Linked DNA regions of Callithrix jacchus. The protein of the gene in region 3 binds, or shares a complex with, the protein of the main gene of each other region. Links are inferred from orthologs where the notes say so. Each region holds a gene or a part of one and is shown on either strand. Other genes may lie near its edges.

Region 1 (10,832 bases), on a different chromosome or scaffold from region 3:
TTTTCTAATTGCCAGAAAGGAATCATTTCCTCCTATGCGCTATGTCTGTACTTTCTAATTTTATTGAGGTTTGTATTACATGTTTGTTAAGCTACCTGTGTGCCCTACCAGAGAAGAAGCTCCAAAATATCTAGGACCCTTTCAATTATTTTTGTGTCTCCAGGGCCTAGAAAAGATTCTAGTATGTCAGAAGTGACTGTTTAATAGGATCTATTTACAACCACTGTATTGTGTGTAAAGGAGGCATAGTTACAGTTCTTCTTTTTTTTAATTTTTTATTGGATTATAGGTTTTGGGGTACATGAGCAGAGCATGCAAGACAGTTGCATAGGTACACACATGGCAGTGTGCTTTGCTTTTCTTCTCCCCTTCACCCACATTTGGCATTTCTCCCCAGGCTATCCCTCCCCACCTCCCCCTCCCACTGGCCCTCCCCTTTTCCCCCCAATAGACTCCAGTGTTTAGTACTCCCCTTTCTGTGTCCATGTGTTCTCATTTTTCATCACCCACCTATGAGTGAGAATATGCGGTGTTTCATTTTCTGTTCTTGTGTCAGTTTGCTGAGGATGATGTTTTCCAGGTTCATCCATGTCCCTACAAACGACACGAACTCATCATTTCTGATTGCTGCATAATATTCCATGGTAACGACTATACATACCATGCAGCTTAGGGAGATACACAAAGAACTTATCAGTCAGCATCTTTTTCCTACTGAATTTACATGATTTGGTCACATTTTGCAGAAGATAGATTATAAGCTTTTAAGCACAACCAAACAATATCATGAATTATTTTAAAAATACATAAATGAACAAAGAAAAACATGAAAATTCAACATCCCACTGTCATGTTTCAGATATTTTTAATAAATAAAAACTTTAAAATTCAGCAGGAACCATCTTGAAGCCATTCCCGGTGTGAAAATTGATCATACAATCTGGATCATTTTTGTTACATCCAACTAAGTCAGAATTGAGGGACTAGGGGAAAAAGCAATCTGGGCATACACCTCAAAGATTAAGAATTAAGTTTTTTACAGCCCAGCTGCTAAAACAGCCTGCAGTACCTCTAAGACCAATTTTACCCAGTAGTTGCTAAAACAATCTGCTATGACTAAGATTGGTTTCACCTACCCCTATCACTCACCAATCAGTGCTTCCCAGCTTCCCAAAAGTTTACTGGCACCAATGAGCATTCTTTCAAAACAGTAGTAACATTTCTCTTTCTAATAAAACTTTTGATTTTCTCTTTGTTCTTCTGACATACCAAAGACCACCCAGTCTCTGAATATGTCCTGAATTGCAATTCTTGCTTCCCCAAAAAACCATTACATTTAGAAATTCATCTCTTTATATTTTATGTTTACTTTGACACGACATACAAATTCCTTGGCCTCCTTTGTTGGAGATGAGCATCACCCTGAAGTTGGGATGTATCCATCCCAACTATGTTCTCATTTTTACCACTTAAAAAAATAAATCCTGGCCGGGCACGGTGTCTCACACCTGTAATCCCAGCACTTTGGGAGGCCGAGGCGGGCGGATCACAAGGTCAAGAGATCGAGACCATCCTGGCCAACCTGGTGAAACCCCCGTCTCTACTAAAAATACAAAAATTAGCCGGGTATGGTGGGGCGTGTCTGTAATCCCAGCTACTCGGGAGGCTGAGGCAGGAGACTTGCTTGAACTGGGAGGTGGAGGTTGCAGTGAGCTGAGATTGCGCCACTGCACTTCAGCCGGGCGACATAGCAAGACTCCATCTTAAAAAAAAGAAAGAAAGAAAGAAAATATATTCATAAATAATATATAGGTATTCTGGTTTTTGTTATGTTTTGTCTTTTTGTGAGACAGAGTCTTGCTTTGTTGCTCAGGCTGGAGTGTAGTGGTGTAATCTCAGCTCACTGCAACCTCCACTTCCTGGGTTCAAGCGATTCGCCTCCCGAGTAGCTGGTACCTCAGGCTTGCGCGACCATTCCTGGCTAATATTTGTATTTTTTTGTTGTTATCTTTTTTGTTGTCAAGTTTCAACTTTTTGTTGACAACTTTGTGGTCAAGTTTCACTCTTGTTGCCCAGGTTGGAGTGCAATGGCACGATCTCAGCTCACCGTAACCTCCGCCTCTCGGGTTCAAGTGATTCTCCTGCCTCAGCCTCCTGTAGCTGGAATTACAGGCATGCGTCACACACCCAGCTAATTTTGTGTTTTTCGTAAAGACGAAGTTTCTCCATGTTGGTCAGTCTGGTCTCAAACTCCCGACCTCAGATGATCCACCCGCCTCGGTCTCCCAAAGTGCTGGGATTACAGGTGAGAGCCACAGCTCCCGCCTGTGTTGTAACACTTTCAGCCAGCGTTATCTAATGCAACAGGTACAATTTATTTTAATTTTTTTAACCCATTATATCCAAAATATTTAAACATATATAAAATTTTTAATGTGCAATTCAATATTCTTTTTGAAAATTTCTTGTACTAAGTCCAGAAAGAAAAATCCAGCTGATATATACTTACAGCACATCTCAATTCACATGCTAAAGTTAGAGTTCATAAAATTTAAGTTTGAAAAACAGATTCATATATCTTGTTGCAAACATACTTAAAAGTGTTCCAACAATTGAATGAGGCATCAGGGTTTTGTTTTGTTTTTAGTTTAATTCAAATTCAATTAATGATTCCATTTTTCCGTGTCAACCACATTTCAAGTCCTGAGTAGCCACATATGGCTAGAGAACAGCCTACTGGAAAGCGCAGCTTAAGGAGATACACAGAGTACTTATCAGTCAGCATCTTGTTCCTACTGAATTTATGTAGTATTTAAATTGTTTTTCTTTGCCATATCCTAGAACTCAAGTGCACAGACGCAATGGATACCTTTGAATTTCTGCGTCGATGGCATTTTGCGTTTAAAAGGATCGTCTGGGCAAGTTGGCGCACGCCTGTAATCCCAGCTACTCGGAAGGCTGAGGCAGGAGAATCTCTTGAACCCCAGACGGGGGAGGTTGTAGTGATCGGAGGTTGTAGAATTGCGCCACTGCACTGCACTCCATCCTGGGCGACAGGGCGAGACTGTCCCAAAATTAAAAAAAAATCATTTATCACTAAATGTATTCACTAAAAGAACTTGCAAAAAAAAAAAAAAAAAGCAACCTACTGCCTAAAAAAACATTTTTAAACGTATTTTTATTTAAGCAGAATATACTGATAAATAATGATGCGTGGTAACTAGTAAAGGTGCAGCTTTCATATTAGCTACGCCCATCCTTCTCCCCCATCCTCCACAAGCACGTCCCCGCCGGCCCTCTCGAAGAGACACACGTACGCACGCGCGCGCCCGAGAACACATACACACGCCTGCAGCACTCACAGGGCTGCGCGCGCCTGCCAGGACCCAGGAAATGCGCCTTCCACCCCCTGCGCCCGGTGGACCTCATGTAGGGAAGTTTCTGGGAACAGTCAAGCAGCCTTTGTATTGGTGGGGTTCCAGTCTCCTTTTAAATGATATGACTCCGCCCTTCCGCACAACCGTTTGGGAGAAGTGGAAAAGGTTGGCCGTGGAGGCGAAAAGGAGTCCTGTTGTCAGCTGGTCCGTACTCCACCTCAGGAAGCGGCCAACTCTGTGCGCCCAAGAATAAAATATGTCCCTTGCAGGAACTTGCAAGGATTTTGAAACGGTCCCCCACTGAGGCTTTGGAAGGAGGGCCTGTCACAGTTGAGAGGTCTGGATGGGTGTTTTCCTCCCAGTAGGTGCCCTATTAATTTGCTGCCTCAATAGTTGGTCTACCCGGGGTGTTAGCGGCGGGACCTCCAGGACCCGAAAAGCGCCGATTCTCCTGCGTACTCCTTGGTTTGGGTTTCCCACAAAAGCGCGGTCACACTAAAAACTGTCTCCACGAAAGCGAAACAGTCTCAAAACTTTTTTTCCCCACACGCTCACTTACTTCCCACACCACTCCCATCCTTTTATGCTTCGCCTCAGGAGTCGAGTGACTTCTCTGAATACCAATTCTACCAAATCTAAGGAGCTATACACACAGCCCGACTTCCCGAGAGAAACAGAGAGAAAACACTGCAAACCCCAATCAGACGCTCCTGTTTTCCCGGTACTAAGAAAAAAATAAAAAGTCGGTCCGTCGCCGCGCTATGCATGCTAGGATTAGTAGTTCCTCCATCCCGCAGGGCTCAGGGTCAGGGCGGAGCTCAGGTTGATTCCGTAGCACAGAACTACAATTCCCGTGGTGCCACGCAGCAGAAAGAAAGGGGCGGGACGTGAGGGGGCGCTTCGCGCCTGCGCAGGCCCCAGGGCCAGAGGGAGGCGGAGGCGAGGCGGTCCAACTGCTGAAGTCCCCATGTGACAGTGAACGGGGTCCCAGCTCCAGGAGACGCTCGAATCCGCGTCCCAGCCCTCAGCAGTGTCCACTGTTCCGGTGCCAGCGGAGACCAGCAGGCCCGGGACACTTGGTGCTTGGCAGTGCAGCTGTCTAACTTGGTGTGCAGAGTGAATTGTTGCTGCTGGAGCGGAGAGAGGCGGAGCGGCCAGGAGAGTGGGGATTTCTGTCAGCGTCGGCGCTCCAAGCTCGGAGACATGAACGGCTTCACGCCTGACGAGATGAGTCGCGGTGGGGATGCGGCCGCCGCAGTGGCCGCAGTGGTCGCTGCTGCGGCTGCCGCCGCCTCAGCGGGGAACGGGACCGGCGCTGGCGCCGGGGCCGAGGTGCCTGGCGCGGGGGCGGTGTCAGCGGCGGGGCCCCCGGGGGCGGCTGGGCCGGGCCCCGGGCAACTGTGCTGCCTGCGGGAGGATGGCGAGCGGTGCGGCCGGGCGGCGGGCAACGCCAGCTTCAGCAAGAGGATCCAGAAGAGCATCTCCCAGAAGAAGGTGAAGATCGAGCTGGATAAGAGCGTAAGTCACGGAGGGACCGCCCTGCCTCCCCCAGCCCCCGGGCGTCAGGAGCCCGGTAAAGGCTCGGGTTGTCGGCTGGGTCCCCCAGACCTGGCTGCAGTGCGGACTCGTGGAGTCTATGGTTGGAGGCAAACAACAAAGTCGCTGCAACTCCGACCGCCTCCCCCACAGGCACAACACACACGCGGCGTTCCCCTCTTTCCCAGCCTCCCGCTGCCTGTGTGTCTCCCGCGCGCTGTCTTCCCTCTTCCTCCTCCTCTGCGATCGGGACACGGAACAAAGGGGACCGCGGCACCGAGGGCCCAGAGTAGTTTTCTTGCAGCCCGGCAGCCTCTGGTGGAATGGAGGCGCCTTTGTTTTGCTGCCCGAGCTGGTGTTTGGCCCGAGGCAGCACTAACTCCCCTGGCCTAGGGCTAAGTGGAGGACCTTCGCGAGCAAGGAATATCTTGTTCTTTTCGGTGTTCGCCTCCTGATTCCGAGCGGAGTGAGAGGGAAGCAGAACTCACCCGCTGCCTGGCGGGGCGCCGGGCTCGTAAACGGCGTTTGCGCTGTCAGCTCCCAGGGCAGATCCTCCGATGGTGGGGAGCACGTAGCCTCTGCGGTTTTGCCATCCCCTTGGCAGCCATCAGGATTTCTTCTTTCCTCCTTTTGCACTTCCGTTCGTTTGACCATCTATGAGTTTTTTTTTTTTTTTAGAAACAACCGTTGCTACTCTGGGGAACTCTGCCTGTCGGTGAATGAATAACACGGTTTCAAGAACCTAGCACAAGTCCTGCATATTTTTATCTTGCGCTTAGCCCAGAAGTAAATTGAAAAGCCTGTTCGCTCAGTCCTTGTTTGTTTAAAATGTTAGTCTACAGCTGGTAGGAGTATATGTAATTAAAGTTTTTGAAAAGTTGATTTGTGACGCTTTTTGCCTGTTTAAACAGTTCTTCAGTGTTATCCAGGAGAAACTTTTCAGGTGAACTTGCATAATTTCACATTGCTTTGGAAAAATGTGTTACAGATAAATACATTGATTTAATATTCAGAAAAGTCTATAACTGAAATTTAAATATAGTTAAGATATGAAATCGATGGCTCATTTGTAAAAACGGATGGTTTTGTATCTGGAATATAATTTGGGTGTTAAGTTAGAAAGACTAGAAAGCATACATTATATTACTAAAATATGCTCTTCTTTAAGTAGAGAAAGTACTAGCAAGTAGCGAGAGTGTGGGCAACATCATCTTTCCCCTTACCAGTTAAAAATTCAACATGAACTAATTCAAGTCACCCTCACTGCAATTTATTTATTTAGAGACAAAGCCTCACTCTGTTATTTAGGCTCGAGTGCGGTGGCGCGATCTCGGCTCACTGCAATCTCCACCCACCAGGTTCCAGCGATTCTCCTGCCATAGTCTCCTGAGTAGCTGGGATTACAGGCTTGTGCCACCATACCCGGCTAATTTTTTGTATTTTTAGTAGAAACGGGATTTCACCATGTTGGCCTGGCTTGTGTAGAACTTCTGAGTTCAAGTGGGCCACCTGCCTCAGCTCTCCGAAAGTGCTGGGATTTCAGGGGTGAGCCACCGCGACTGGCCCCTCACTGCAATTTGATGACAAAACCCAGAGGGTTGGGATTTCTCATTCTCCCCTCCCTCCCTCCCTTCTCCAAATGGCACCGACCCCTCCTTCCCCATTTGCCTTCCTTTTAACAGTATTCCAGACATCTTATGTTTTAACAGGGCATAGGATTTAAAAGTAGAAATATTCCATAGTCTTAACAATGACCCATCTTGACTGTCTTTATTTTTAATAACTCTCTGTGGTATATGTGTTTTATTAATACATAGACATATTTTACTGTAATCATAAGCAGTGTGTGAAACTTTTCTGTTTCAGGCAAGGCATCTTTATATATGTGATTATCATAAAAACTTAATTCAGAGTGTTCGAAACAGAAGAAAGAGAAAAGGGAGTGATGATGATGGAGGTGATTCACCTGTTCAAGATATTGATACCCCAGAGGTAGATGGAAGTTTTTTATGCTTAATATAAATCCTAAGTAGTGCATTCTGAAACCTTTACAAAAAGATATGAACAGTCTTTTAAGTGTTTAGAACATTTGAGAAATCTGAAAATAAAAGCAAAATTAAATGTAGCCAGTTGACATGCATTTGCACAGTTGGAATTGTTTTAAATTGACAATTTTTACAGCTCTGCTGTCATGGAACTTTTTTTTTTGACCTGTTTATATTTATCCCCAAAAGATTAAAGTGTTTAATAATTTATAGGTTTGATTATGTAAAAGGATTTTTTGGTAATGGAATTAAATTTTTATTGTGCTGAAGTTAAAATGTTTGTTATACATATCAATGATAAATTTTCAACAAATTGTATGAACTAATTTATGCATGTTAATTTTTTTCTAGGTTGATTTATACCAATTACAAGTGAATACACTTAGGAGATACAAAAGACACTTCAAGCTACCAACCAGACCAGGACTTAATAAAGCACAACTTGTCGAGGTATATATGAGTTTCAAACTGTTTAAACTATCTGCTCAACCAAGAGGTTATTAAATGCTAATGAAAGTATTAACGTAGTATATGTAATGGTACATTTTAGGTAGAAAGAACAAAGTTAAAAAATCTATTGTGGAAGAATCTAGTTGTCTAGAAATGTTTGTCTGCCACTTGGGAAATTCCTTTTTTAATGACTGCTCAGTAGATTGTGTACAACACCTTTTGATACCGGCTTTGAAAATGTGTTGTTTGTTTGTTTTTTGAGAACAGAGTCTTGCTCTGTCTCCCAGGCTAGAGTGCAGTAGCATGATCTTGGCTCACTACAACCTCTGCCTGCTAGGTTCAAACAGTTCTCCTGCCTCAGCCTCCCAACTAGCTGGGACTTCAGGTGTACACCACCACACCAGGCTAATTTTTGTATAATATTTTTAGTAGAGATGGGGTTTCACCCTGTTGGCCTGACTTGTCTCAAACTCCTGACTTCAAGTAATCTGCCCACCTCAGCCTACAAAAGTGCTGGGATTATAGGTGTGAGCCACCATTCCTGGCCCTCAAAATGTTGAATGAAAGTTTTTTAAATCCTCACTTTAGAAATCTATTAGTTTAAAATTCCATTTAACCAGTAAACCATTTAAGCACCTAATTGAGGCATAATAAAATTTAATTAACAAGCATAAATGTCCTTATTAGAATTTATTTTTTAAAGTGGTGGAATATGTCTACAAATCAGCCCCTAAACAGTATTTTTATAATTCGCTGACTTACGTATTTCAAAATTTGTCCTGTTGATGTTAGTTTTATTAGAGACATCCATGTTTTCTTCACATCTAGAAGAGGCAAAAGCTTTTCTTTTACCCAAGCTTTTACTTGTAGTTTGCTTTGATAGAGGACTTCTGGTCAGTCAATGAATTGTGAAAAGTTAATGGAGTGTGTATATGTTCTCAGGATACAGTAGAACCAAGAAATCTATGAATCTTATTAAGATATTTATAGATTTATACTTTAACCATATATAAAATAAAAATTTTTACTTGCAGCTACTTAGGAGGATTGATTGAGCCTAGGAGTTTGAGTCACCATGGGCAACATAGTAACACTCTCTTAAAAAAAAATTTTAGCCTTCTAGACAAAATAAAAGTGTAGATCTATCAATCAGTTTTCTCATGTTCTTTGCATGGATTTAGTAGTTACCCAACATTTTCTAAAATGTGCATATTGAATAAAATGAAATATGAATAGAAAATATGTTTATTTGGGAGAATGTTTTTTAACATTGTTAAAATCCAACATATTAACTATTTAGCTAAAATTTCTTCTGTATTTCTTTATTAGGCAACACAGATCTAATTTTTCTTTACTTTTGATTTGAAAGATTAAGATCTTTTCGGGTTGTATAATACATTAATGTAACATAAATGTAGGTATTGCCCACCATGATAAAATATTTCAAAAGCTACTAATGGAGTGAAGGCACCTCTGTTTTGAGACAATGAAGAACCAAAGAACTGATTATTCTAAATGTTATATTTAAGTATAAATTAAACCTGAAATTTTTGATAAAGTAACCTTATAAGAACAGTTGTATTATTTCTAGAGCTATTTTTTTAAATAATTAAGAGATAGCCATGAGTGTTATATTTTATTTAATCAGAAATGCAGATATTGACAGGTTAAGGACTGTGCAGATGTAGCACATGTATTTTAAGACAGGGGTCCCCACCCCCAGGGCCATGGACTGGTACTGGGCTGTGGCCTGTTAGCAAAGGGTGGGTAGAGTGGGAGGTGAACACTGGCTAGCAAGCATTACTGACCGAGCTCCACCTCCTGTCAGATCAGCCACAGCGTTAGATTCTCCTGGGGGACCAAAGCCTCTTGTGAAGTGCACATGAGAGAGAACTAGGTTGTATGCTTGTTATAAGAATCTAATGCCTGATGATCTGAGGTGGAACAATTTCATACCAAAACCAACCCCTCTACCCCGAATCTACAAAAATTGCCTTCCATGAAATCGATCTCTGGTGCCAAAAATGTTGGGAACCCCTGTTTTAAGGGATTCCAGGGTTGTATGACTAAGTCTTAAGTGTCTTAATTATCATGTGGATAAACTTTTTTCTTAAGAAATTTTATTTTCTGGAATCTAAATATGCATGTCAGCCCCCCAGGTGAGTCTATTATTCTTCTATTAGTAATTGCAGTATGTGTGTTATGTTAGCACAATGAAAAGGCAAGGAAGAGGTAAACATCCTTCCTTCCCTTATGTTATATATGTTATGTTAACACATAAATTGTTTGCTGCAAATTATATTCATTTATATGTTATTTAGCTCTTTCTCATTTTCCATTCCTAATTTTTATTCAGAAAAATTTTCAAGGAACCTTAACCAAAGAAGGTTGCCAATGTATGAATGAATGAATATAATTTGCAGCAAACAATTTATATGTTATTGTTTGTTTCTTTACTACTGAAAGTTTTCAGCTTCATACTTCTTTTTCTATCAGTAGGTTCGAAACCATTGCAGGTTTAATGATGCATGTGGTCTCTTACTTCTATTTTACTCATTTAAAGTTTAAAAGTAAAAATATTTATTCCCTACTCTAGATTCCAACTGTAAAATTTATGATTTTTATTTTATTTATGTATTTATTTTTGAGACAGAATCTTGCTCTGTCACCCAGGCTGGAGTTCAGTGGTATGATCTTGACTCACTGCAACCTCCACCGTCTGACTTCAAGCAATCCTCCTGCCCACAGCCTTCCAAATAGCTGGGATTACAGGTCTACACTACCATGCCTAGCTAATTTTTTTTTTTTTTTTTTTTTTTTTTTGGTAGAGATGGGGTTTCGTCATGTTGCTCAGGCTGGTCTTGAACTCCTGGGCTCAAGTGATCCACACACCTCAGCCTCCCAAAGTGCTGGGTTTATAGGCATAAGCCACCATACCCAGCCCAATTATAAAATTTAAAATAAATAAAAAGGAAAATATATTTTCTAATCAATGTATATATTGAGTAGGCCAAAGGATCCTTTGAAATCATACTATCTCTTGTTCATAACATTTTATTCTTAAATGCTTTTTGTCCTGTTGGTATGTTGCTAAATATAATTTTTAAAGGAAATAGCCCTTATCACATAGCACTTTTTCTTTTGATGAAACAATATTTTTTACCTAGTTTATGAAACCTGTTATCTCTAAAATTTAATTTCCTTAATTTTTTTTTTTCTCTATAGATAGTTGGTTGCCACTTTAGGTCTATTCCAGTGAATGAAAAAGACACCTTAACATATTTCATCTACTCAGTGAAGAATGACAAGAACAAATCAGATCTCAAGGTTGATAGTGGTGTTCACTAGGAGACGTGGAATTGAGACTAATAACTTGGATGTTAGCACTGTTTACTGTTTTTTCACATGTAGAAATGTTCCTTGT
Region 2 (10,106 bases), on a different chromosome or scaffold from region 3:
CCATTTGAAAAGGTTGTCTGATTCAGGGAAGGCAGAAATCCCTTTATCGCCAGACATCTGGGGAGGAAATACATTTGCTGGAGTGTGGAGTACACTTTGGGGCACAGCAAAGGTCGGTGGGTGAGACCTTTGTCCTTAATCACACACGCACACACACACACACACAGATATAAATGGGGTTACCCCATCTCTACCAAAATACACGCACGTGCACGAGCGCACACACACACTTGATCTGTCGTCGAGAATGGAGTACAGTGGCACCATCTCGGCTCACTGCAACCTCCGCCTCCCAGGTTCAAGCGATTCTAGTGCCGCAACTTCCCAAGTAGCTGGAATTACAGGTATGCATCATCACACATGGCTAATTTTTATATTTTTAGTAGAGACGGGATTTTGCAATGTTGGCCAGGCTGGTCTCAAACTCCTGACCTAAAGTGATCCGCCCACCTTGGCCTCCCAAAGTGTTGGGATGACAGGCTTGAGCCACCACACCTGGTCTCCCCTTAATCTCATCACACTCTTATTCAAAGTAAAGCTACCACATTCACAGGCTAGAAATACCAAGAAGGGTGGGAAGTTGGGTGTGGGTAAACTTGGTTGGGGCCGGGAAGTAGGCACGCACTCGACAGGCAGGGTCTTGAATGACTTCAGGCAAGTGCTTTAGAGATAACTTCATGTAGGGGGATGGAATTGGGAGGAAGAAACGGTGCAGGTGGGGTGTATGAACTTCTTCCCAGAAGGGAGCAAATTACATTCGTCTTTTTATTCCTATGTCTAGCAAAATAGCTGATGTAGGAAAGGAGGCTACTGATAATTGGGTGGAAGGGTGGATCAGTCGGCTGGGGTTCCGGGCACTTAGTCACTCACCATTAGGGTCATCAGCTCCTGCTGTAGCCTGCAAAAAGAGCATTGCGGGTTACCTGGGAGTCTGGTTGGGCCAGGGCTCTAGATGGTGCATCTCCCCCCACCTGAATCTCTCAGGGGGAGCAGTCAACTTCTCCCTTACCCTGTCCCCGCCAAGTCACGAGCGTGTTTGCGCTGCCTTAATTTAGGCCCACTCAGGGAAGGAATCAGGCAGCGCTCCTACCTTTCCATCCTCCTTAGGGAGAACCTCAAAGAGCGATCTGAGCTCCTGTCGTGTCCCCCATCTCCCAAACTCACCCGCGCAAGGAGGTGGGAGTCCTGGAAGTCTCCGCCCTCGGCACCCATGCCCAGGGGAATGCCAGGCCCCGAGTTCCTGGCGTGTTCTGCACCCGCCTATCTCTTGCTCCAGAAGGAGGCTGGGGGTCCTAGAAATCTTTGCTCTGGGTCCCAATGCCTAGGGATGGCAGGCCCGACGAGTGGTACTCCGCACCACTCACCTTTTGCCCACGGGGCCCCGGGCGGCGCCCCCGCTCGGCTCGGCTCCTTTACGGGCGGCAGCGACGCTAGTGGCTGCTGGGTCGCGGTTTTGGGAGGCCATCCGGGCGGCGCTGGCAGAGAGACAGGGACTCGGAGAACACGACGGCAACTGCAGGGCTGCGGGCCCGCCCGCCTGCGTTTGAATTGTAACCCTCTGTGGGCATCGGCCAATCAGTGGCTCGCTTGGGTTTGATCCAGCCAATGGGACGCGCCGGAGCGCTCTGTCGCTGCGTCACTACTAGACCTACCCACCGGCGCACCAGTATTGGGCGGCAGGATCCCGCTTCTGACAGTCGATTGGTAGACGAGGCTGCCATTAACTAACGAATCCGTAGCACATTGGAAACGCTTTGGAAAACGCTGACCATTAAAGGGCCAAGAAAACGTCCACGTGGGATGAACTCTCCTTAAGGCTACAAGCCTTACTCCGCCTGGGAACATCCAGCACGCCCAGCCTTGATCCCATCTACCTCGGGAAAGGAGTGCCTCCAATCTTGCCACACTGGTACCCTTCCCCCAAACTGGAAACCTCTGCTCCTCCCCACTGTATAATCGCCTGTTTACCTTTGCTGGGTCCTGAGTATCTGAAAATCCCAGCGAGGGGAAAATCTAGAGGCTGATGGCCAGAGCAGCAGGCTCCCTATTAGAAAACGGAGGTTCATACATCTCTGCATTTGACAGAAAAAGAAAAGACAACACTGATTCAGGCTGGGCGCAGTGGCTCATGCCTGTAATCCCAACACTTTGGAAGGCCCAGGAAGGAGGATCGCTTGAACCCAGGAGTTCAAGACGAGCCTGGGCAACATAAAAAAAGAATAGGCTGGTGAGGTGGCACAAGCCTCTAGTCCTAGCTACTGGCAAGGCTGAGGCGGGAGAATCACTTGAGGCAGAGGCTTCACTCTAGCCTGGGCGACAGAGCAAGACTCTTGTCTCCAAACAAACAAAAACCTCAGTAACACAGGTTCATATCCTGTATGTCCTACCTCTCCAACGGGTATTGTGTGACCTTGGGGCAGATTCCTTAGTATCTTAACCCGTAAAATGGGAGCAATAAAACCCAGCTCTATTTTTCATATGGTCTGTCATCAAACCCCACAGGATTAGCCATCACATTCTGCCATGTCCTTACATTAGCTGGGTAAAGAAACTACAAACCGGGACAGGAAAGAGGTGCAAGATACATGGTACTCCCTGCTTGGTTTCATCAAGCCTGGGTCTATACTGTTATGGGTGAGGTTATCTTATCCTTTTTTCCTACACCCACTTCTAGAGCCCTTGATGTTCTGTCAGTTTCCGCAAGACAGAGGGAACAGCAGGTTCACCATCTGTGTTTATTACAAACTGTTTAATTGCTCCTTATCCCAATAACTTTACAAAGAAAGAACCACATGCCAGTCTGGGGGTGCTGTGCAGTGAGTCACTACAAACTTGCTCAGGCACAGCTTAATGCCACTGAGATCCATCTAGGAGCAGTCCCAGTGGTGGCCTCAGCCGTGTGAGGAAAGAGGGCTTTGAAGGAGGGTTGCCAAGTGTATGTGGCCTGGGGCCCTGGCCTCAGGTCTGTGGTGGTGCTTCAACAGCACGATGCTCATTCTCTGTCCGTAGTGTCTCCATATATTTTCTCATCTTCTCCACCATCCAGGAGGGTAGGACAAAGGATTTCAATTCTTCTAGCTTCAGGTCCAGGCATCCTCTGGAACAGACAATGAAGAAGGAAGTTGGGGGAAGTGAGGATGTAGGTCCTGCCTCATCCTAGGGGATACTTTGAGGCAGGGGGAGAAGGGGCAAGAGGCCCACTGGTTTTACCTGTAGTCATCACTGGCAGCAAGGTCCCGGATGTCCTCCTCAATGAGGAGGTAGGCCTGGGGCAGAAGCAAGGGAGAGTGGTCACTGCCTGACTAATTTCATTCCAACTCAGTAACACTTCATTACACATCTGCTTAATGTAAGGCCTGCTACTTACTAGGTGGAAGAGGGGGATGTGGTTTGCAATTTAGTAAGGAAGAGTAAGTGGGGATAGATGGGAATGGCTCCTTGAGACAATCTTTTACTAAAGTAGATGCTTTATGGGTGGGAGAATAGGGAATAGTGACTTATTTATAGCCTCCTCTTTTAGAAAAGGACCCATTTCTCTCTTGAATGGTGTGGTGAAAAAATTAAAAAAATAAAAATAAAGAAAAAAAAGGGACCCACCATTGCTCCTCCACCTTTTGGTTATGATCAAATGTATAAAAGGACCCAAGGTTGGTGATGACAAAACGGCAAAGAATGTCAGCAAAATATACATGGAAACAGGAAATCAGGAAGAGGAAACCATATGTTCCCTCTGAGGACAAAGATAACTTGGTTTAGAACTTTGTAGCAAAATGGAAAACATGATAACTGCCCTGCTGTCTAGTAATTGGCCTGTATTGTACTGAGGCCTATAGAAATGCTTTGTCACAATGCCTCGATCTACAGTGGGTGAGGGCCCTTTTGTGAACATTAACATATAAGAAGAGATGTTTGTCACATTAGAAAGCCTTCTGTGGGGCTGGGTGTGGTGGCTCATGCCTGCAATCCCAGCACTTTGGGAGGCTACGGTGGGAGGATCACCTGAAGTTGGGAGTTCAAGACCAGCGTGACCAACATGGAGAACAAGGTGAAAGGGTGAAGGGGCAAAGGGAGACCCAGGAACAGGGAAGGGAACCTGAGGATTACAATGTGCTCTTCAGCATGAAGAAATGGGCCTTAAAAGTCTCTCTTCTCACATTGGTCAGGCTTTGGGAGTCAGATTTGGAGGTAAGCTGTCACCCACATCCAGAATCCTGGTTCCCAGGTGGGGTGGGTCCCTGGCAATGGCACATGTGAATAATGCTTACCATCTTGCCCCCTGTTGCCCGCATGTGATGCTGCTCAGCCAGCCAGTGCTTGTCCTGGGGGTCAGCTGCATACTGTAAGGGATGAAGTTGTAGAAGTATTAGCCTCAGGTAAGGGGTTCTTCTCATTTGGTCCTAGAGCATACTCTTGCCCTTTGAGCAGTCCTTACCAAAAGTCCTTGTCTCCTAGCATGGTGGCTGTAGAGGGTTCATTAATATCTTCAGAGCAAGCCGAGCCAAGCCCAGAGGGCAGATCATGGACCCAATTCCCAGAGACTTAGTATACTCCCAGTCCCCAGTCCCTCTGTCAAAACAAAGCACCCTAGCAACTGGTGGGACTGATAACTATTATTTGATAGTTTCCTCTTTTAAAAAGTTATCTGAGGTGCCTTATAATGTCTGTGATTATTATGGTGACAATAATAAAACAAGAATTAGGACACCTCAGGTACTGTCAGATGCAGAATAGCATCATGGTTAAGAACCCAGTTTTGGAGTTACAAATAAGGTTTGTTTGTTTATTTATTAAAACACAGTCTCACTCTGTTGTCCAGGCTGGAGTGCAGTGGCACTATCGCAGCTCACTGCAATCTCCACTTCCTGGGTTCAAGCTATTCTTCTGCCTTAGCCTCCTGAGCGGCTGGGATTACAGGCATGTGCTACCACACCTGGCTGATTTTTGTATTTTTAGTAGAGATGGGGTTTCGCCATGTTGGCCAGGCTGGTTTGGAACTCCTGGCCTCAAGTGATCCACCCGCCTCAGCCTCCCAAAGTGTTGGGATTACAGGCACGAGCCAACATGTTCGGCCCAAATAAGCCTGAAATTCTGGCTTCTAGGCTGGGTTTCTTTGCACCTGGCTGAGAAACTGGGTATTGGTCTCTATTACCTCCTGTGTATTGTCTGAATCTTTTTACAACAGAAATGGGTTTATATATTATTTCTATAATCAAAAAGTTTAAAAATGAAAAATATTTGAATAATGTCTTCTGAAGGACAGAAAAATGGGCCAAAGATATAACAGGCAGCTTACAGAAGAAATACACATAGATTCTAAATGACTGAAAAGATACTTATAATCACTAGTAGAGAATTATAAAGTTGGGCCAGGAGCAGTGGCTCATGTCTGTAATCCCAGCACTTTGGGAGGCCAAGGATGTTGATCATTTGAAGTTGGAAGTTCGAGATCAGCCTGGCCAATATGGTGAAAACCCGTCTCTACTAAAAATATAAAAATTAGGTGGGCGTGGTGGCACATCCCTGTAATCCCAGCTACTTGGGAGGCTGAGGCAGAAGAACTGCTTGAACCTGGGAGACGGGAGGTTGCAATCAGCTGACATCACATCACAGCACTCCAGCCTGGGCAACAGAGGGAGACTCTGTCCCATTAAAAAAAAAAAAAACAGAGAGAATTGTAAAGTGAAACAAAAAAAACCATTTTCTTTCCAGTTATTGGACTGGAAAGATTAAAATGAGAGGTAATAACCACTGGTAATGAGAGTATGAGTTGGGAGTTTATTACAAATGGTGGATTTCAGAGTTGGGAAATTATGCTAATAATAATCAACATTTATTGAGCCCTTGCTATGTGCCAGGCATAATGCTAAGTGCTTTACTACACTCTGTTAGTTAACCTTGGTCTATCACTGTTCCCATCTTATAAAGAACAAAAACAGACTCAGAAATGTGGATCAATTCCCAGACTTGAGCTAGTTAAAAAAAGGAAAAAGAAATGTGAAGCCATTTGTTCAAGTTCATGCAGCCAGTAATGGAATGAAGCCTGAAGCCATATTTTTAAGCATGCTGAAATGGGAATTCAAAGTAGGTCCAAGAGCATATTGATTTTGGGGATGATACAAAGAAAGCTCTTGGAGGAGGTAGATCTTAAAGAATAGTCAGCCAGATAAGGGTGGGAGAGGATGCCACCCAGGTAAAGGGAATAGCAAGAATGACGACATCAAGAGAGGGAAACAAAGAAGGAGCCACTGGGCAAACTTTAAGTGTTGAGATGCAAGGATCTCAGACTGGAGAAGACTGAACAGGTAAGCCTTTCAAAGAACTTGAAAACTTGCAGAGAATGTGGTAGAGAAAGCCGTGGTTCTGGGATCCCACAGGGGCTGTGGAGTTCTGGCAAGGGGTGCCAAGCTTTATGTAGAGGTGCAAAAACCATGTGTGGAACACACATGTACCACGATTTTCCTAATCTATTTTGATGCTGTTGTGAACCAATAAAATATAAAATCATCTAAGAGGGCAAGTGAGTTTATGATTTCCTTTATTATTCCCTCAAACAGTGTGGATCAAAACATAGCTGCTCTCAGGAGTCCCCTCTTTGAAAAGGCACAGGACCCTGCCTTGCTCCAAACTCTGTTTTACAGACAGCCAAATATAGTAGTGGTTAAGAGCTCAGGCTTTGGTGAAGACAGACCTGAGTTTGAATCCTGACTCACCACTTCTAGCTGAATAACTGTGGGCAAGTCACTCAGCCTTTCTCAACCTCTGATTGTTTTGAATTGGTGAAATAAGGATGGCAGTACTTATTTTTTAAGATAATGTAAGTGTGGTATTTAAAACTGTGTTTGGCGTACAATAAACATGCAGGGAAAGGAGCTGTTATTACTGAGGCACAGAGGTGCTGAGTAAATCATGAAAGGTAAGTGAATGGCAGAGGTGCAGCTAGAACCCGGATGTCATGACTCCCAGATCAGTGTTTGTTCTAAGCTTCTCTGTACCGTGTGGAGTTCCCAAACTACTCCCAATCCATGGCCTGCTTTCCCCCCAGCCCTCACCTACCTTAAAGAGGTGTGGGTGCTTGATGTAGATTCTCCCTCTGGTGCCCCCCATCCCCAGGGCCCTGAAAAGTAAAAGCCAAGTGGTAAAGATTCTAGAAAGTGCAGTTCCTACTAGTGAACTCCAGAGCTGTTTCCTTTACCAGTGCCAAAGCTCTTAAACTTACTTGTTGGCTCGAGATCCCAATACAAAGGTGGTAGATTCATTCAGGCGAGCTGGGTCCCACTATGGAAAAAACAGAGAAGCTGGTGAGGGTGAAGTTTAAACTAGTGGGCAGGACAGAAACACTCCTCCCCCTGCCCTTTTCTCATGCTTACCCTTATCTATTATTCAATCAACAGTGTACTCCAAACACTGAGTACTCACAATATGCTAGGCCCTGTCTGTGCTAGATACTGGGAATAAAGAGATGAATAAGATACAGTCTCCATTTTCTAGGGCGCCACAGACATATGTACAGATAATTATACCATGATGCGATGAGGCAATGACACAGGTGAGTGGAGAGTCTGAGGGCTGCCAAGGGGAGGGTGCAGCCAGGAAGGCTTCCTTAGAGAGGTATTTCCCAAGTTAATTCTGAAAGGGTGAGCACAAGTTGGGGTAAAGGGGGTGAGGAACAAGGCAATTCCAGACAGGGGGCAGCATGTGCAAGGACAGGTGAGAGTCGGCTTGGCATGCTGGAGAAACTACTAGTAACTCTCTGTTGCTAACAGTACAAATTAGGGAGTGGCAATTGATGGGGCTGGAGAGGAAAACCCAGAGGAGCTGGAGGTCCTATGAGATTATGTTCAGGGGACTGCATTTTATTTCTTCTGTAGGCATTGGGGAATTACTGAAGGCCTCTAAATAGGGAGTGAGAGTCAGATTTACTTTAAAGATAGCTTAGTTGCTGGCCAGGCGCGGTGGCTCAAGCCTGTAATCCCAGCACTTTGGGAGGCCGAGGTGGGTGGATCACGAGGTCAAGAGATTGAGACCATCCTGGTCAACATGGTGAAACCATGTCTCTACTAAAAATACAAAAAATTAGCTGGGCATGGTGGTGCGTGCCTATAATCCCAGCTACTCAGGAGGCTGAGGCAGGAGAATTGCCTGAACCCAGGAGGCGGAGGTTGCGGTCAGCTGAGATCGTGCCATTGCACTCCAGCCTGGGTAACAAGAGCAAAACTCCGTCTCAAAAAAAAAAAAAAAAGAGATAGTTTAGTCTTCTAGCAATGTAGATAATGGATTTGAAGGGGCAAGATGACAGGCAGGGAGAACAGTTGAGAGGCCGCAGTGGTAAAGCAGTTGGAAAGCTGCTAATGCCTGAGCTAGGGCAGAAGTAAGGATGAAGAGAAGGAAATAGGAACTGCAGTATGTTTAAGAGGAAGAATTGTCCAGGACTTGAGTGGATGTTGGGAGGTGAGAAAAAGGAGGAGGCAAAGACGATTAAAATAAGTAACATAAAGAAGGGCTGTCAGGAAAGATTCTGATTTCATGTTTGGATACGCTGAGTCTGAAATGCCTATGGAGCCTCCAGCAGAGTGGTCAAGTACATAGTAGGATATACAAGTTTTAAAGCAGAAAGAGAGGCATGGGATGGACAAAGAGGTATGGGAGTTTTAGAACATGGTGGTCCCTGAAACCATAAGAGTACATGATTTAGATCATCCAGAGAGTTACTTTAGATGGAGCAGTGGGCCAAGGAGAGAAGTCTGGGGAGCATCCATTTATGTAAACCACTGCTGAGGAAGAACTCATGAGAAAGAAGGGATGTTTAGAGACGAACAGAAAGATTCAGGGGAATGCAGGATCATTATTCTAAGCGAATAGGGTTTTAGAGGAAAGGCATGATTACCAGTGTGAAAGCAGAGAGGGCCAGAAGACAAGAGGTGGACAGCAGCTACTGGACACAGCCTCAACGAGGACAGGGATGCTGTATCAACATTACTGGAGTTCCATTGATGATTTTATTTAAGAAAGGATCTCACTGCTACAACAGTTTGCAAACAACTGCTCTGGAGGCAACAGAGGCTAATGGTTAGAAGCACAGAATCTGGTGTCAGTGGGTCTTGGGTTTGAGACTTGGCTCAGTCACCTACAAGTTATGTGACTCTGGGCAAGTCTCAAGTACAGTAAGTGTATAAGACAACTGAATAAAATAATTTTTGACCACGGGGAAGTTGGCAGAAAAGGAAACTCCTCATTTATAGAATGGTTCACAGAATTGATCTCCTAAGTTTTTTACAAAGATTAAATGAGAGAGTCTACACAAAAGATTTAGGACACTGGCTGATACATACTAAGTACTGAGTAAGTGTTAGTGACCACTAGCTCTTACAAGGAGCAGGCTTCAGCAAAGATTCAAGGCCTCTCTTTGTTTTGGCTCTAACACCAGTTCCTACATAGGATCCTCTCTGAGTCAGTGTGGCTGGAGGTGGAGAGGGGAAGATGGCTCTGGAATGGTGTGCATGCATCCTTTGCCCTCTGCCCCTTTCCGTCGTGGTGGGTCCCAGAGATAGTGGGACTATTTCCTGGGATAGTGGTCACCGCCATGCTCACATAATCATACCTTAGGACCTTCCCGGCGAATTGGTTCACAGGATTTTGGTTTCCATCTGCTTGGAAGGAAAGAATAAAGGTGAATTCTCCAAGGTGAGACCTAGGACTGAATTCAGGCTTGCTGGTGATGGTAGGAGTTCCTCACATACTCTCACTTTAGCCCTGGGCATCCTCCTTCGTGGTGACACGTTAGAGGAGGAGCAAAGGGAAAAAAGCACTGGACTGGAAGCTATTCTAGCACTAGCTCTGCTCTTACACAGTTGCATGAGCAACTCTAAGAACCTATGAGTGGCAGTTTTCTCATCTGTCAAAAGAGACAAGAGCAGTAACTGCCCTACCTATCTTGTATTTGTGAGAAATAAAACTGCTTCATGTAGGAGACACGTCTAAGGTATGACAGTGAATACTATCCCATCTACTAAGCCAGTGGTTTCAAAAGAACCCCAAGCCCCTGAACCAGACCAGTGTGGCTTGATTTGATTTATATATTGGGCTTCCATGAAAAGTTCTGTTTGAAA
Region 3 (10,106 bases):
TGAACCCAGGAGGCAGAGGTTGCAAGTGAGCTGAGATCATGCCACTGCACTCCAGCCTGGTGACAGAGCAAGACTCTGTCTCAAAGAAAAGAAAAGAAAAAGAAAATGACACAGAAGGGCAGGCAGAAGCATGGTCAGGCTAAATGGCCTCTACATTTTTTTCTGGCCATAAAATTCTAAGCACTAGAAGGCACTTAGATCAGTCTGGGGCATGTCTGAATAGCAAAGGGTCCCTCAGACTAGGTACACCCGGGTGGGCGACAATCCCTGAACCACATGCTACAACGGAGAGTGGGCATGGTCCACAGGCAATTCACCCCGGGATCACAGAGTGCCCAGCCTCACTCACCGAGCATGGAGCTGAGAAGCTGGTCAGGGCTGGCCTGAGTGGACGTGGAACAGAGGGTGTTGAAGTATAGCCCAGAGCCCCCCCGGATGGGGCTGAGCATTGGGGGTGGTGTGTAGGGGGAGCACTGAAATAAGCCCTTCAGGAGGTGGTCCACCAGGAACACGGGTGACTGCAGGCGGCTCTGGTGGCATCCTGCAGGGCCGGGTTCCCCAGCCGTGGAGGGCAGAGCAGGGATGAACAGTGACTTGGGTGGGGGCCGCTTTTTCCGCTTCCTCTGCTGGCTGCTCTCCTTGCTGTCTTGCTCCTCCCCGTCTTTCTCTTGTCCCTGAAGAAGAAGGAGAGAGTATAGAACCACAGGTGGCCACCTGAAGCCACCTACTGCACCACTCTATCTCCAGGATGGGATGAAAGTGGGAACAGGAGACTGGCTGGAGAGAGGAAACTAGGACACACGTGCCCGGCGTGGCCACACCCCCACCGAGCCCTCCGCAAAGGAGGCCAGCCACACCTGGGCCAGACCTGAGGCACTGAGTCTGGCCATGATCTGGATGCCCCAGGAGAGCCTCTGACTGTGTGTGAGGACGGCCTCAACCGTTAAGATGACTGGCCCTTAAACAGGGAGATATCCCTAAAGATACAGTGTGATGCTGGCAAGAAAGAAATGCTGCTCCACCCAAATGACAAGCACCCAAATGACCCAGCCACTGACTCAGGGGACCTTCAGGTCCATGGACTCTGTTCCCAAGTTGAGCAGGAGCTTCTCCAGGTGGGGTCCTTCAGTACAGGCTGCAGAGACAAGCCCTTTGAGACCAATCACTTATAACTCACCACGCTTTCTCTCACCTCCACAGAATCCCTCTGCTCTGCCAGCCCTACTCCTCCTCCTCCTTCAGGTCTCAGCTCCCATACTGCCTCCTCCAGGAAGCCCCCCCCTTACCTCCTCAGGCTGGTTCAGGAGCCCCCTGGAACTCTCTGGGCTCCCTCTACTCCCAGCCCTGCCTACTCTGGGTTATCACGGTCTGGGTACAGGCCTGTCTCCTCCACTGGACTGGGAGCCCTGGGAGGCAGGGCCCAGGCTATTGTGGTCACCTCTGTGTCCCCAGTACCACCCAGCACAGGGCCTGGCACAGAGGGGCTCAGTGAATGCTGAATGACTGAATTAACGTGCAAACCAGCTTCTTCTGGATCAAGATTTTCCTCTTTTTTTTGAGACAGAGTCTCACTGTTGCCCAGGCTGCAGTGCAGTGATGCGATCTCGGCTCACTGCAGAGGCTTCTTGGGTTCAAGTGATTCTCGGGCCTCAGCCTCTTGAGTAGCTGAGTTTACAGGTGCCCACCACCACGCCTGGCTAATTTTTTTGTATTTTTAGTAGAGACGGGGTTTCATCATGTTGCCCAGGCTGGTTTTGAACTCCTGAGCTCAGGCGATCTGCCCACCTCAACCTCCCAAAGTGCTGGGATTACAGGTGTGAGCCACCACGCCTGTCTTGGAGTCAAGATTTTCTGTGGTGTCTGGTTTAGGCTTTTCCTACAGCTTCCCCCAGCAGAGGGGGCAGTGGCAGGAAGAAGGCAGACCGACAAGCGCCCACCATGGCCATGCTCCCTATGTGTCGGGTCACTGGAACCTCAGGGACTGATAGGGGGACCACCAAAGGGGCTGCAGCCATGGGGTCCAAGGGCTTCTTGGGTTCTGAGGGACTGTGCCCGTCCCCTTCTGGCCTCAGCACCTGTCTTAGGGGATTGCAAAACTCTGTGCCAAACACCTAAATACAGAGAGAAAAGATGGCTCTTTAAGAGACAGGTAGGTGGGGAAAGGAAGAGCTGCTTCAGAAAAAGCTGCCATAGAAAACAGCAGTGAGTCTGGGGCATGGCCTGAGCTGCAGAGCTGTTGCAGCCCACGGCAATGGCCTGCCCCTGGAGAGCCACACAGCCTGACTCCAGCCCTCCACCCAGCGCGACGGCCCCATCCTGAGATGTGTGACACCAGTCTCGTTGACGCCCCACAGGCCTGCCAGAAACCCAGTAATCACAAAGCCACTGGTCATGCCCCTTCACCTGCGGTTCCTGCTTCCCTCGAGGTGATGGCCACTGGTCGCTGTGGAAACACATGTGGCTGCTCAGCCCTTTCTCCGTATAAAACATCTGGCTGCAGTTCTTGCAGACGTAAGTGCTGCTCGGCTCCGTGCAGTCCATGGGACCACCGTTGTGCTGGCTAATGTGGGCAGACACGGCAGGAGAAAAGAGTGGGAGATTGGGACTCTGCCGTTGATCACTGAGTTTTTGTTTTCTTTCTTTTTTGTCTATAACTCCAATCCACTGACTACTCCTTTTTTTTTTTTTTGGAGAGGTAGTCTTGCTCTATTGCCCAGGCTGGAACGTAGTGGCATGATCTCAGCTCACTGTGACCTCTGCCTCCTGGGTTCAAGTGATTTTCATGCCTCAGCCTCCCAAGTAGCTAAGATTACGGGTTTGTGCCAACACGCCTGGCTAATTTTTGTATTTTTAGTAGAGACAGAGTTTCACCATGTTGGCCATGCTGGTCTTGAACCCCGACCTCAAGTGATCTGCCCGCCTCGGCCTCCCAAAGTGCTGGGATTACAGACATGAGCCATTGCATCCAGCCTGACTACTCTTGAAAAACCCTAAAAAATGGAGGCTGTACCCTAATCCCATTAAGACTGAAAGCATCCTCCCCACTCACTTATCCTGGCCAGCACAGGAAAGCCAGAGGACTCTTGTCAGAGCACATGCAGGAGGTGGGGGGCTTCTTAACTTACCCTCCACCTACCACGTTCTCTTCCTTCACTGGATGGGGAAGCCTGTAGATGTTTCCACCCTGAAGATAAAAATGCATCTGAAGCAACACATCAGAAATGAAGAGGCAAGGAGAGCTCAAATTACAGACTCTTAGAAGAAAACATCGGAGTAAATCTTTAATGACCTTGGAGTAGACAGTGGTTTCTTAGATAAGACATGAAAGCAGAACAGACAAATTCGACTTCATCAGACTTTAACTCTCTTAGCCAGGCATCGTGGCTCATGCCTGTGATTCCAGGACTTTGGGAAGCCGAAGTGGGAGGATCGCTTCAGTCCAGGAGTTTGAGACCATCCTGGGCAATATGGTGAAACCAAACCCCATCTCTACAAAAAATACAAAAATTAGCTGGGCATAGTGGCCTGGGCCTGTGATCCCAGTGACGCAGAAGGCTGAGGTAGGAGAATCACTTGAGCCCAGGAGTTCAAGGTTGCAGTGAGCCATGATCACACAACTTCATTCCAGCCTGAGTGACAGAGTGAGACCCTGTCTCAAAAAAAAAAACAAAACCAAACCACTTTCGTCCTGCAAATGGTACCATAAATAAAATGAAAAGACAGCCCACAAAATGAGAGAATATTTGCAAGTCATGTGTCAGATAAGGGGCTTGTATCCAGAATATACGAACTCAAAAAATAGTAACTTGATTTTAAAAAAATAAGCCAAGGATCTGAAGAGACATTTCTTTTTTTTTTTTGAGATGGAGTTTCGCTTTGTTGCCCAGACTAGAGTGCAATGGCACGATCTCGGCACACTGCAACCTCCGCCTCCTGGGTTCAGGCAATTCTCCCGCCTCAGCCTGCTGAGTAGCTGGGATTACAGGCACGTGCCACCATGCCCAGCTAATTTTTTTTGTATTTTTAGTAGAGACGGGGTTTCACCATGTTGACCAGGATGGTCTCGATCTCTTGACCTCGTGATCCACCCGCCTTGGCCTCCTAAAGTGCTGGGATTACAGGCATGAGCCACCGTGTCTGGCCCATGAAGAGACATTTCTTTTAGGAAGATACACAGATGGCTAATAAGCACCCAGAAAGGTGTTCGACATCATCAGCCTCGGGCAAATACAAACCCAAACCACAACAAGACACCACTTCACACCCATCAGGATAGTTATAATTAAAAAAAAAAACAAAAACAGGAGGCCGAGGCAGGAGAATCGCTTGAACCCGGGAGGCAGAGGTTGCAGTGAGCTGAGATTGCACCGCTGCACTCCAACCTGGTGACAGAGTGAGATTCTGTCTCAGAAAAAAAAAAAAAAAACCACAGACAATAACAAGTGTTGGTGAGGACGTGGAGAATGTGGAGCCCTCACACTCTGGGGGTGGGAAGCTGAAATGGTGCAGCTGCTCAGCAAAACAGCCTAGTGGTTCCTCAGACCTAAGACAGAGCTGCTGTAAGACCTGGCGATTCTACTCCTAGAGCACAAATCCCCACCCAAATGTGTACACGAGTGAACATCACAGCAGCACTATATTCAAAATAGCCAAAAAGTGGAAACAACCCAAACGTCCACCCACTGATGAACAGACAAATCCAATGTGGGCTTATCCATCCAGCAGCATCACTCAGCCATGGAAAGGAACGCAGCTCTGCCGCTTGCCACCCCTCGGATGAGCCTGGAAAATGTCAGACCGAGTGAAGGAAGCCAGACGCAAAAGCCATAGAGTGCATGATTCCACTCACATGCAACATCCAGAACAGTCACACCCACAGACACAGAAAGGGGACTCATGGCTGCCAGGGGCTGGGTGGAGGGTGAGATTATGGGTGACAACTAAGAAATGTGGGGTTCCTGTTGGGGAGATGAAACTGTCCTGGAAAGAGTGGTGAGGGCCGCACAATCTTGTGAATATACTACAAATTACTCAATGCTATGCTTTAAAATGGTGTATTCACGTTGGGTGAGGTGGCTCACGCCTGTAATCCCAGCACTTTGGGAGGCCAAGGCAGGTGGATCACAAGGTCAAGAGTTCAAGACCAGCCTGGCCAAGATGGTGAAACCCCATATCTCTTAAAAATACAAAAATTAGGGCCGGGCGCGGTGGCTCACGCCTATAATCCCAGCACTTTGGGAGGCCGAGGCGGGTGGATCACGAGGTCAAGAGATCGAGACCATCCTGGTCAACATGGTGAAACCCCATCTCTACTAAAAATACAAAAAATTAGCTGGGCATGGTGGTGCGTGCCTGTAGTCCCAGCTACTCAGGAGGCTGAGGCAGGAGAATTGCTTGAACCCAGGAGGTGGAGGTTGCGGTGAGCCGAGATCGCACCACTGCACTCCAGCCTGGGTAACAAGAGCGAAACTCCGACTCAAAAAAAAAAAAAAAAAAAAATTAGCCAGGCTTGGTGGTGGGCACCTGTAATCCCAGCTACTCAGGAGGCTGAGGTGAAGAATCGCTTGAACCCAGGAGGCAGAGGTCGCAGTGAGCTGAGATTGCGCCACTGCACTCCAGCCTGGGTGACAGAGTAAGACTCCATCTCAAATAAATAAATAATTTTAAAAAATACAATAAAATGTTGTATTTGGCCGGGTACGGTGGCTCATGCCTGTAATCCCAACAATTTAGAAGGCCAAGATGAGAGGATTGCTTGAGCCGAAGGGTTCAAGACCAGGCTGGGAAACATAGCGAGACTCCCCATCTCTAAAAAAATTAAATGGTGCATTTTATGGCACCTGAATAATAAAGCTGCTAATAAAAGGAAAATAAGGCAGCTCTGGTGTGATGGGAAGCCACTCAGCCTCCCAAGTACCTGGGGCCACAGGGGAGTGCCACCATGCCCAGCTGATTGTTTAAATTTTTGGTAGAGACGGTGTTTTGCCATGTTGCCCAGGCGAAACCTGGAGTCTGGAGTCCTGACCGAGCTCTTCAGACCAGGCCTTCCAAGCATAGTGTCTGGAGGAAGCTGTGCATGATTATCAATGTGCTGAAGTGCGGGGTATGCAGCAGGCACCCACTTGTGCTCGTGGAAACCATGACACACAATCAGAAAACATATGGCCATTTCAAGCAGGGATATTTAAAGGAAGGAGGGCATCTACCTTCATATCCTCTGAAGTGTCTAAAAAGGCAAATCCAAGGCAAGGGAAACGAGAGAAAAAAAAAAAAACAAGCAAAAAAGGCTTAGCGAGATAGTGTTTCCAACAACTCTGGAATATCCTCATTTATTATTATTATTATTTTTGAGACAGGGTCTCACTCTTTCGCTCAGGCTGGAGTGCACTGGCGAGATCTCAGCTCAGTGAAACCTCCACCTCCCAGGTTCAAGCGATTCTCCCACCTCAGCCTCCCTAGTAGCTGGAACCACAGGTATGCACCACCGCCCAGCTAATTTTTAAAAATTTTGGTAGAGATGGGGTTTTGCCATGTTGCCCAGGCTGGTCTCAAACACCTGAGCTCAAGATGTCTTCCCAGTTGAGCCTCCCAAAGGGCTGGGATTACAGGTGTAAGCCACCTCACCTGGCCTCATTCTGGTCTGTTTTTTTGTTTTTTGGTTTTTTTTTTTAGTGGGGGAAACCACAATTTCTCGAATTTCTTCCTCCATAAAATTGCATCTAGGGATTCACTTCGATGAAATAAAATGCGTGGACAACTAACAAATGCAGAGAAAACTCACACCACTCTGCTTAGGCCACGTGAGAGAGAGAGCGGGTACCTGGATTCTGCTGAATATTGTCAGCTTGGACGTGGAGTCTCGGGAGGCATCTGCCGGAGGCCCGGCCGACGAGAAGGAGGCCATGGCTACCTGGCTCGGAGAAGCCGCAGAGCACATATCCATCTTCACCTTCTCCTTCCGGAACCCGGAGAATCGCTGGGCTCTGGGGTTGCCCAGCAGCCTGTAGCTTCCGCCCCGGGAGCCGGCTGGGCCCTTCTCACCTTTCGTGGTCCCTGACGCTGTGCCATTCTCGGCAGGGGCCTGCTTCCCGTGCATCGGGGCTCCCGGTGGCTCCTCCCCACCTAACTGGGTCTGCCGTTGGCCTGTGGAGGAGAAGATGTCCTCCAGGTCCAAGGTCCTTTTCGAGGATCGCAAGTGCTTGGCCAGAGAAGAGATTTCCGGATTCCTGGAAGGGTCCAGAGACGCCACTGCAAAGGACGTTGGAACCGGGGCCACTTTCAGTCCCCCCTTTGCGTCTCGTCTCGTGCTGCCGGGGGAGGCCTCTCTGGGAACTCCGGGCGTGGTTTTCCTCCTGCGGGCTGGGGAGCCCTCTGCCTCCGGGTTTTCAGGGCCGGTGTGGACAGAGTCCACAGCAGGAGTCAGCGGAGGGGGCTGATGCGGCCATGGCCCCTGCAGCGGCTTCAGAGCGGCCGGCTTGCCCTCGGGCGCGGGGAGCTGGGAGGAGGCTGCTGCCACCTGGGCGTGGGAGAAGATCCGCTGGGACTTGGTAATCATCTGGAACACCTGCATCTGCTCGTGGCTCACCAGAGGCTCCGGCGACTTGAGGAAGAGCTGGCGGAAGAACGGCGTGGCATCCGCGGGGAGCCCCCCTGGCGTCTGGGCCTCCAGGGGACCGGACTCCCCGGGGTTCTGGCACAGGAAGGAGTCGCAGTCGAACTTGCTCTTCTTGGGGGCCCAGGGGTCCTCTTCCCCGCTGGCAGGCCTGGGGTCGCTCGGGGCCTCCCCGGAGGCCTTCAGGATCGCGGGAAGAAAGGGCAGCGCATCCTCCAGGCAGCCACTGGGGCCAGGCGGGGGCTCTTCCGACGGGGCGGCGCTGCTGGGCCCTGGGCCAGACTCGGAGCCTTCCTGTGACAGCATGGCGGGGGGCTTGTGGACAACAAACACATTGTTGCCTTTGCTTTTGGGGCAGCCCGGCAGGTTCCGGAGCCACTGGAAGCCGTGGCTCGACGACTGGGAACTGGCAGGGACCGTCTGGCCTCGGAAGAGAGGCAGGCTGGCAGGCATGGAACCGCCCTCCGGCCAGCCCTCCGCGGAGTACAGGGCCTGGAGCAGCGCGGGATCTGGCTCCGGCGGGTCGGGGGCGCAGTTCTCAGCTGCCCTGGAATTAGGGGCGGTGAACACGTCAGCGGCCGGCTCCTTCTGCGGTAGGCAAGGCTCCTCCGGAAGCTTGGTGTCCAGCTCTGCAGGGGCCTCGGTGGGGTCGGCTGAGGTGCAGGAGGAAGACCCTGATGAGGCGGGGCAGGGACAGGCCGTGTTCTTCCCTTCGCTGTCTGAAGCCCCCGCCGGGGCCGGGCCAGGAGAAGGGGTCTTCTGGTGGACGATGCTGCTCACGATGCGGCGCAGGAGGTCCCGGTGGGGCAGGAGGGAGCCGGGGGACCTGGCCTCCGGGGGCACCACGGACCGCAGACTGCTGGGGGGCGGCTGGACAGCAGACTCGTGGGTGTGGGAGTAGTCCCCGCAGGCCTCCTCCTCCGGGGGGGCTTCCTTCAAGATGCACAGGCCGTGCTGAACCTCGTAGTGCCGGCGCAGAGAGCGGTAGTCGCAGTAGCTCTTGCTGCAGCCCTGCTCGATGCACACGAAGGGCTTCGTCTTCTGGTGGGTGAGCATGTGCCCGGTCCTGGAGCCAGACACAAGTAGGGGCGTCAGCGGGTTGCCTGGGACTGCGCTTTCTCCCGTAGGACCCCGGTGGCCCCGATAGTCTGTGGTGCTTTTGCACCACAATGCAGAAATTGTACTCAGCCCCCAAGAGGAAAGACCACCTGGCAAACCCTGCTTCTGTCAAAGCCACCTGGCAGGAGAGCTCCTCTCCCTCACCTTTAAGCAAAGCCCTTACAGAAAAGTAAAAAAAAAATCCAGCGGGGCTCAGTGGCTCATGCCTGTAACCCCAGCACTTTGGGAGGCTGAGGTGGGTGGATCACCTGAGATCAGGAGTTTGAGACCAGCTTGACCAACATGATAAAACCTGTCCACCAAAAATACAAAAAATTAGCTGGGTGTGGTAGCACATGCCTGTAATCCCAGCTACTGGGGAGGCTGAGGCAGGAGAATCACTTGAACCCAGAAGGTGAAAGTTGCAGTGAGCCAAGATCATGCCACTGCACTCCAGCCTGGGCAACAGAGCAAGACTCTATCTCAATAAAAACAAACAAATAAATAAAAATTTAAAGAATGATTTAAAAATCCACTGAGGCCAGATTAGACTTTGCCAGAGTGGGTTCCCGGAAGACACAAAGCTCCAGAGTTGCTCCTCAGGGCCTCTGGGCACAGCTGAATAATAAGTTTTGAAAAACACCATTCACTGCTTGGAAGTTCACAATGCACAGCAGCAAATTTAATTCATTAATTAGTTAATTTTTTGTTTTTGAGATGGAGGCTTGCTCTGTTGCCCAGGCTGGAGGGCAGTAGCATGATCTTGGCTCACTGCAAGCTCCACCTCCCAGGTTCAAGAGATACTTGTGTCTCAGCCTCTTGAGTAGCTGGGACTACAGGTTCGCACCACCACACCCAGCTAATTTTTGTATTTTTAGTAGAGACAGGGTTTCGCCATGTTGGCCAGGCTGGTCTTGAACTCCTGACCTCAAGTGATCTGCCCACCTCACCCTCCCAAAGTGTTGAGATTACAGGCGTGAGCCACTGCACCCAGCCCACAGTTGCAAATTTAAAAGCCACATAGAGAGAGACCTGTTTAACTTTCAGTGTCTCTCAAACTTATTTGCCCAGAGAACTGTTTTTGGTTTTATTTTCAAAAAGCCCCTAAAAGCATTCCTGAGAACCAGAATTCTGCAGAATAGACTGGAGGAGAAGCTAACTTGAGGGCGATCCTTCCTTTAACTAAGGAGTCTGTGCCTTACTGTAGGAGACCCCTAAGAAGATGCTACCTGGAACCTCCCACAGCAAAGGAGTCAATTTACAGAGGCCCAATCCATTGAAACTTCATAGAGCCAAACAGCCAAATGTGCCTATAGTTTCTGCAAACAGAAATGCATGTAAATATGTCACACCTACCTCTGCGTGAACACATTATAAACATAAGCAGAGGAGTGCC

Evidence for each region.
Region 1: ZNF541 (region 3) and SAP30 share a complex: the UniProt entries of both Homo sapiens proteins name them as parts of the histone deacetylase complex. The link is inferred for Callithrix jacchus from reciprocal best matches to the Homo sapiens genes ZNF541 and SAP30.
Region 2: ZNF541 (region 3) and DNTTIP1 share a complex: the UniProt entries of both Homo sapiens proteins name them as parts of the histone deacetylase complex. The link is inferred for Callithrix jacchus from reciprocal best matches to the Homo sapiens genes ZNF541 and DNTTIP1.

Annotation. Positions count from the first base shown.
Region 1 is NC_133504.1:17,826,087-17,836,918, reverse strand, and holds the start of SAP30 (histone deacetylase complex subunit SAP30), read left to right. Parts: upstream 1-4,302; 5' UTR 4,303-4,580; coding exon 4,581-4,895; intron 4,896-6,779; coding exon 6,780-6,905; intron 6,906-7,309; coding exon 7,310-7,408; intron 7,409-10,633; coding exon 10,634-10,756; 3' UTR 10,757-10,832. UniProt on the Homo sapiens protein: Involved in the functional recruitment of the Sin3-histone deacetylase complex (HDAC) to a specific subset of N-CoR corepressor complexes. Capable of transcription repression by N-CoR.
Region 2 is NC_133506.1:41,044,275-41,054,380, reverse strand, and holds the end of DNTTIP1 (deoxynucleotidyltransferase terminal-interacting protein 1), read right to left. Parts: intron 9,645-10,106; coding exon 9,599-9,644; intron 7,276-9,598; coding exon 7,217-7,275; intron 7,115-7,216; coding exon 7,054-7,114; intron 4,338-7,053; coding exon 4,266-4,337; intron 3,267-4,265; coding exon 3,211-3,266; intron 3,098-3,210; coding exon 2,959-3,097; 3' UTR 2,722-2,958; downstream 1-2,721. UniProt on the Homo sapiens protein: Increases DNTT terminal deoxynucleotidyltransferase activity (in vitro). Also acts as a transcriptional regulator, binding to the consensus sequence 5'-GNTGCATG-3' following an AT-tract.
Region 3 is NC_133523.1:41,477,139-41,487,244, forward strand, and holds part of ZNF541 (zinc finger protein 541), read right to left. Parts: intron 8,679-10,106; coding exon 6,821-8,678; intron 3,185-6,820; coding exon 3,126-3,184; intron 2,561-3,125; coding exon 2,404-2,560; intron 2,112-2,403; coding exon 1,938-2,111; intron 675-1,937; coding exon 350-674; intron 1-349. UniProt on the Homo sapiens protein: Transcription regulator which is essential for male fertility and for the completion of meiotic prophase in spermatocytes.